Canis lupus familiaris: one gene and its partner. The protein of the gene in region 1 purifies or fractionates together with the protein of each later gene. This does not show direct contact. Links are inferred from orthologs where the notes say so. Each region holds a gene or a part of one and is shown in the gene's direction. Other genes may lie near its edges.

Evidence for each region. Proteins that work in one complex are often made in the same cells at the same time.
Region 2: the proteins of METTL9 (region 1) and SLC39A10 purify together in Homo sapiens (co-immunoprecipitation; 3 studies listed by BioGRID and IntAct, with this or other methods). This does not show direct contact. The link is inferred for Canis lupus familiaris from reciprocal best matches to the Homo sapiens genes METTL9 and SLC39A10.

Annotation. Positions count from the first base shown.
Region 1 is NC_049227.1:23,453,164-23,456,732, reverse strand, and holds part of METTL9 (methyltransferase-like protein 9), read left to right. Parts: intron 1-2,379; coding exon 2,380-2,570; intron 2,571-3,569. UniProt on the Homo sapiens protein: Protein-histidine N-methyltransferase that specifically catalyzes 1-methylhistidine (pros-methylhistidine) methylation of target proteins.
Region 2 is NC_049258.1:5,393,031-5,396,599, forward strand, and holds part of SLC39A10 (zinc transporter ZIP10), read left to right. Parts: intron 1-1,479; coding exon 1,480-1,638; 3' UTR 1,639-3,569. UniProt on the Homo sapiens protein: Zinc-influx transporter. When associated with SLC39A6, the heterodimer formed by SLC39A10 and SLC39A6 mediates cellular zinc uptake to trigger cells to undergo epithelial-to-mesenchymal transition (EMT).

The DNA of each region.
Region 1 (3,569 bases):
AAGTGAAATCCTATCCTTTGTGGCTTTTTGTGTCTGGCTTCTTTCCCTTAGCATAATGTTTTCAGAGTTCATCCATGTTGTCACATGAATCAGTACTTCACTGCTTTTTATGGCTGAATATCTTGTTTATCCATCAATTGATGGGCATTTGGGCTAGTTCCACTTTTTGGAGATTATGAATAATGCTGCTGTGGAGTTGACATTTGCATCCTGCAGATGGTCAGGAGGAACATGGATTTCAACCTTTGTCTTTAAAGAGGAGAGCTTTACTCCTTTTTATTTTGTAGCAATTCTGTTTAGTAAGCAGTTTCTTTTCTGAAACACTTGCTTGGCTGTAAAGGTTCAACCACATGTGTGAATGTCAATGAATTGAGAAAAATGCTGTTAAGAACTTGAGTTTTCCTCTTGGCACTTGAAAGCAATATTTGCAGTTAATGATGCCAAGTTCTGGAAGTCCACTGTTTTCTGTTGTCCATTACAAGTGAATGCCGAGGAATTGTTAGCTCCTCTGTTTCACTTGAATGACTTCTTGTCCACATTAATAGAGTGTACCTGATTGCCTACAACCGAGGTGATGGCTTTCATCCTGATTAGTCATTTCAGAGAATAAAAAATAAATAAAAGTCACAGTGGCCTCAGTATTACAGAGTTCAGAATGTGCACAGAAGGTCGTGAGTATAATAAAAAATGGTTTATGACATGTACTGGGGCATAACTTCAGGCACGATGAATATTAAGAATTAGTTAATGATAAAGCAAGAACATTTTCAGACCAAGGAAAAAAGTATAGGCAGTAAATATAAGAAGCTTCACAGCTTATCATGTACAGTAGAAGAAATGAAAATTGTTTTCAAGTCCAAGCAGTTTTGGTAACAGTGTTCAAATAGTGAATTAACACAAATCAGTCAACAGTTGGCACATCTGGTATTTAGTTTGGATATAGGTTTGTGAAAAAGATGAGCTAATCTTTGCAATTTTAATGTGCCTGTTTGCTTGTTTGTATTGGTTTCTAACTGGTTCCTTTTAATGTTAGTGTCAGGAATGTTACCCAAGATTTCATTCCACATTTAGCAAGCTTCAAATGACTGTAAAATTGGTCCACCAGTTGAGTAAGCTGTTACGGGACACCTGCTGATAAATGTCATATTTATCAGGGGGAAGCAAATTACTTTTGGCCAGTAGACTTTATTGGGAAAAAATTGATTGTTTCTTAGCAGATCATGGATTAGTAGTAACTGGTCAACCCTACAGTTTCATCATTGTAATTAATGGGCTTACTGTTATTTATCAGCCATGTTAGAGGAATCTCATTGCTGTTATTATAGGATTCTTTTGTGTGTCTGGTACTATATTGAGGATTTGCCTGCATTCCTTCTTTAATCCTCTCAGTAGATACCAGTGACAGGTAGGTATCTACTAGGATAGGTACATACCAGTGACATCTCTAGTCTACAGATGACTGAACTGAGGCTCAGTGACTAAGTGACTTCTCCAAGCTTGCACAGGAATGGTGGAGCCAGGACTTGATTGTGGAGCGGACCCTAAAGCTGGCCTACCCTACTATTTACCTTCCCCTTTCCTGGTACACTAACTCTAAATGAAAATGGAAAACGTATGTATTGTGGAAGATTAAATTTCATCCATGGTTGAGGTTCTTGGATTTTGCTCTCAAAAGTGCATTCTGGTTAGAGCCTGTTCCTGGGTATTTGGTTCTCTGGCCTGTTATTACTTTGTTTTCTCATTGATTGCAATGTGACCTTAAGTAACTTCTTAATCTTTCTCAAGAACATATTGCCCCTATTTGAGAATGTTATATGACCTGGTAAAGCACACCTCAGTATTTCTAAAGGCAGCTTAATCTGGTCACTGGAGTGTTAACTTCTGCTGCTTACTCTGCCATTGATGTGTTTGGTGGTTTTGAATTAAATCACTGCATTACATGATGGTTTCCTTATCTAAAACAAAGTTAATAATGCTAGTTTTGGCTTCTGAGACTGATTTTCAGTGAAGGAGAGGCCAACAGAGCTTTCCTAGATCTCAGAGTACTGGAGGTATAGTGACTGAAATAGTGGGCCAGGAGTCAGAACACCTGGATTATGGCCTAGCTCTGCCACCTACTAACCTACTAAGCTATATGATTCAGAAGCCTCTTCAACCTTCCTCTGCCCTCCCATCCCCTTAGGAGAATTAAATGAGAAATTATGTATGTGTAAGTATTTTACACTTTGTAGGTTATCTGAGTATAAAAGATGAGATTATCCTCAAAGTGCCAAGGGCCATGAGATTATGATATTTGGAAATATCACATTTGATTTAGTCTTCGGGCTTTTGTTTAGATGACACTTCAGTTGTGTATTTTCACTTTTTCTTCTTTTTTAGTGGTATGTGTGCAACAGAGAGAAATTATGCGAATCACTCCAGGCTGTCTTTGTTCAGAGCTACCTTGACCAAGGAACACAGATCTTCTTAAACAACAGCATTGAGAAATCGGGCTGGCTATTTATCCAATTATATCACTCTTTTGTGTCATCTGTTTTTAGCCTGTTTATGTCTAGAACATCTATCAATGGGTAAGTGAATCTTGTGTATTTTTTCTTTACCCTTAGGTTTATGAAAAAAAAAAGAGGAAAGTTGTTTTGTTGAAGGTGTTGACTGCCTCCGCTACAATATTTCTACTAGTTAGAATCCTTGACAGTGGGTCCAGTCTTCAGCCTTATGCTCCCAAGTGATGTTCATAATGCTGCTAATTTCCTGTGGGAGAGTATCAAGAACTGAATTCTTAACATAGCTGAAGAGTGAAATCTTCACCTTAAGCACACTTTCCAGGAGCAAGTTTTTTTGGGGGGATTTAATCAGCGCAGCAATGTGTGATGGCTTATTTCGAGTGAAGGGTCCAACATCTGTTCTTACATAATGTCTAGGCTCACCAGAATTTTTTTTTTCCGATTTTATTTATTTATTCATAAGAGACACACAGAGAGAGGCAGCAGACATAGGCAGAGGGAGAAGCAGACTCCATGCAGGGAAGCCTGATGCGGGACTTCATCCCAGGACCCCAGGATCACACCCTGAGCCAAAGGCAGTTGGTCAACCAATGAGCCACCCAGGGATCCCTCACCAGAATTTTTTAAACTTACTATGGAAGTACCTATCTCCAGAGTGGTTCTTTTGCATAAATCCATGGAAGAAGCTTTAGGAATATTTTTTATCTTTTCTTGGCCAAATTTTCAAGTATCTCCAAGGCCCAAGAATCTAGAATGCCAAGGGGAAAATCAGTAGGGCTCACTGTTTATGAAGCCTTTTTGGACAGCTTAAAGCCACTAGTTGGGCCCACTTTTTTCCCCCTTCAGGTTTGGAGCCAGATTCTCCTGAATGTCTGGATCCCCAATCTATCATCTGGTCCTTAAATATGTTTTTAGGCACCATGAGCCATTTCTCAAGATTTCTTACTTGATTTTCTTCATTGTTTATATGAAATTGCCTTAAGTTTGCTTCAGCAAACAGTTGTTATTTTTGTATTGGTAGTTGAATTTATACAACTTGGTCTGACATTTTGTTTCTGAAATTGG
Region 2 (3,569 bases), on another chromosome or scaffold:
CAGATGTAAAAGTTTTTTGTCATGATAAAAACTTGAGAAAAGGAGAAAAAAAAAAAAAAGTCTTCTTACTAGAACCACAGGTGGGAAGTTGCCGGGTTTAGTTTTAATCCAGAGGTTGGCAAACTGTCTGTAAAGGGACCGACAGTAAATATTTAGGCTTTGTAGCCCATATAGTCTCTGTGACAGTTAATCAGCTCTGCTCTCTGGGGTGTCTATCACAGTTACTTAACTCTGCTCAAAAAGAACAGTAACTGCCATCAGCCATTATGTGCTACTGCCATAGACTCTTGAACAAAATAGATGACCAGCATGAAGTAGTTCTCAAGTAGGGCCCTGAGGGGATTGTTAAATATACTGTTGCAATGTCAGAATATGGCAGTTGGATTAATTGTACTCATTATTTAATAAGAACAGTAGTGCTTCTTCCTAGGCAGGCATTATGTTCTTAATGCTGCATTTTTCCTCTCTGAACCGAAAAGCACCCAGATACTGTTTGGAGTAAAGCTTAGAGTCTAAGAGAGTAGCCTATCAGTGTCATCGTTCTGATGATAATCACTGCAAACTTGAAAAACAATACACAGAACAGGAAAATGAAATGTGGAAGTAGCAGTTCTTTCACAATTTTGATTAGACATGGGTGGAGGGACCTTATGCTTGTAATAATGCACATGCATTTCTTTAACAAATCTTATTTACTTAAAGACAAGTTTTATATTTGAAGTATGTATTATTCTTTACTAGTATATGCTTATGCTTTAGAAATCAAACTATAAACTTCAAAGAACTGTGCCTTTAAAGGTATTGGAAATATTCAGGTTTTTGAAATTTTATCGTGTTTAGGGAAATTAGAGTACCCTGTGAAGGCAGTGAGAGCCACTTGGTAGCAGTCCTGCTGGACAGCTTTGAGAGACTATTTTCTCTATTCTTGCAAGGAAAATAATGGCTTAAGGGCATAGAAATAACAAATTAGGAGCCGTCTGTAAATGTCCATCCATGCTTTCACATGCAGTTGGATAGGAGAATTTTAAATGGAAATGGTAAAGAAATGAAACCGTTTTGAACTAGATATCTCCCCAAAGAATCTTAACATTTTCAGTGATTCTGAGAATTGTGGTCTTTCCTGGAGAGTTTTATTGGCAATAATAAGTTGTCTTCTACTTTAGCATAAAGCAAATGTCATAAATGACCAGGTCAGTGAATGGTAACTTTAAATATATACCTAGTGCATATATTTGCATTTGTTCAGGGTTTAGGGGGGAACAGATTTAGCATTTACTTACTACATAGCTAGAGCATAAACTTTGTCAGTGTTTGGCTGAAACACGTGTCATGGTTAGCATTATGTTTAATAGAATAATTCTACTTGTAGTTATGCTTTATTCATTAGTTTAAAGTAGAAGAATGTTAAAAAAAATTAAGCAGAATATTACCCAAAATTGCTTGTAAGAATCTGCGGGTCTTTTTTTTTTTCCCCCCCAGCTTCCAGAAATGTTGCATGGTGATGGTGACAATGAAGAACATGGCTTTTGTCCAGTGGGGCAATTCATTCTTCAGAATTTAGGATTGCTGTTTGGATTTGCCATTATGCTGGTGATTGCCCTCTATGAAGACAAAATTGTGTTTGACCTCCAGTTTTAACCATTCCCAGTAATCATTGTGGATTACGAGAATGTTACCATGCAGCTTTGCATCTGTTCCTAGTACTGTATGCACATTGCTCAAAGAAAAGTCGGTGGCTTGCACTACTTACAAGTTCCATAGGTTTGAGCCTAACCACAAAAGACTGGTGCTCAGTACTGCTTTTCCCTGTGCGAAAGGGATCTTTTAACGATATAAAGCTTGTGATAAAGAAAGGAGAAAAATGGGACTCCATGAACCAATGTTGGTATAGGTTTGATTCAGACTTTTAAAAAAAAAAAAAATCATATGAAACACTAAAGTAGTCTCTTTGGTAGTAGAAACTTCTGTGGCTATGCAGAAATAGAAATTGAACCAAAAAAATCACTTAAACTTTAAAAATATTTTAAATGGACTTGGGGCAGACTTTTCTTTGTGCTAAAAATGAATTGTAGTGTCCTTGAATCCAGTTACATACATACCTAAGGTAATGGGGATCAACTCGATACAATTTTGAAACTGCATAAAGTAGGCTGTAGGAACTAGAGGAAAGCTCAGGCTGCGTTAGCGTATGAACTTAGCGTTGGGAAAAGCCCTATTCTTGAATCTAGAGTTACTATTTTTGTATATATTGGCATAGTGTTTAAACTTGCAGCCTAAACTACTGAACTTTGTGATTGTATGTTTGTGTGAGCTTCAGTTTAATGAAAGGTTCTTTGTATTAATATTATACTTGGTGTTTGGGTGTTTTGTTTTGTTTTTTCTTTCAAACTTCAATTTTGTTTTTGTTTGGGGATTTTTGGTGGGGGCAGGGAGTTTGCAGCATGTGGTAAAATGTTTTTGTTTTTTGTTTTTTGTTTTTTTCGTTAAAAATGTAATAACCCTCTAGGAGATACCAGAAAATAGAAGAACCCAAACATGGTCTAAATATTCAGTTTTCCTGTATTAACAGTACTAACTAGTTATTTGGGAAATTTAAGTTCTGAACGTAATGCATTGCTTTACCGGCCTGGTTCTGGAACCTAGAACACACGCCGTGACCGGCAGGAACCCAGGTTTACCACGTCCACAATCGGTTAGAAAGGGTTATGAGGATAATCCCCATGGATGCCATGGTGTCCCGGTCCCAGGTGACTTGGAAGAGACACTTAGTAATGCAGCTGAAACCGCTTGATCCTTCTGTGCCAAGATACGCTGCTGGTGCCTGATGGGGACTGGTCCGGAGAGGTGCCCTGCTCCACCACAATCGGGTGACTTGTGAGAAGTGCAAGCCATGTTGATCCTGCATTTTGGCCTAATAATTTGTAGTTTACTAGTCATACTGCATGTAGCTTTCTGTTTACATCTGGTGCCACATGGTCTTCATTTATGCCAGGTAAACTGTATTTGAACTCTGTGCAGGCAGCTTTGTTTTAATCTGCTTGGCTACCAATGCAGCTGCTTTAAAAATCGTAACGTTCAAATATTTAAGAGCCAAACTCCTTCCATTCCATTTAGAGTGTTTGCATTTCGCCCTCCTTCTCTCCTCAACTCCTTTCCTCTTACTTCATGAACTTTAAACAAAAAAATAAAACTTTGAGAGCAGCACATGTATCCAGGTAGTAAGAGTATTGCCAGTGTTTCTTCTTTATGCTGTAAGTAAGGAAGCTTAGGTGTTATTGCCTTGATTTATGCCTGAATTTGAAAAATTATTCCTGGCTTTCTCCAAGGCCTCCTGTAATAAGTAGAGGTTGGTTTGTTTTTGTTTTTTTCCACATAGAATATTTTCCGCATTGGGCACTGACTTAGCACAGTCCTCATCTCATTGCTTGGCCCTTCAAGCAACCTAGCTAAAAGGTGCTGATATTTTATTTAGTACTGCCAACTTGGAGTGATTAAAATATCTTGCTTTCTGAACCAAGATATATTTATAGTTCTTTTTTGCATTTTTATACCCAAGGAGGTTTCTGCAT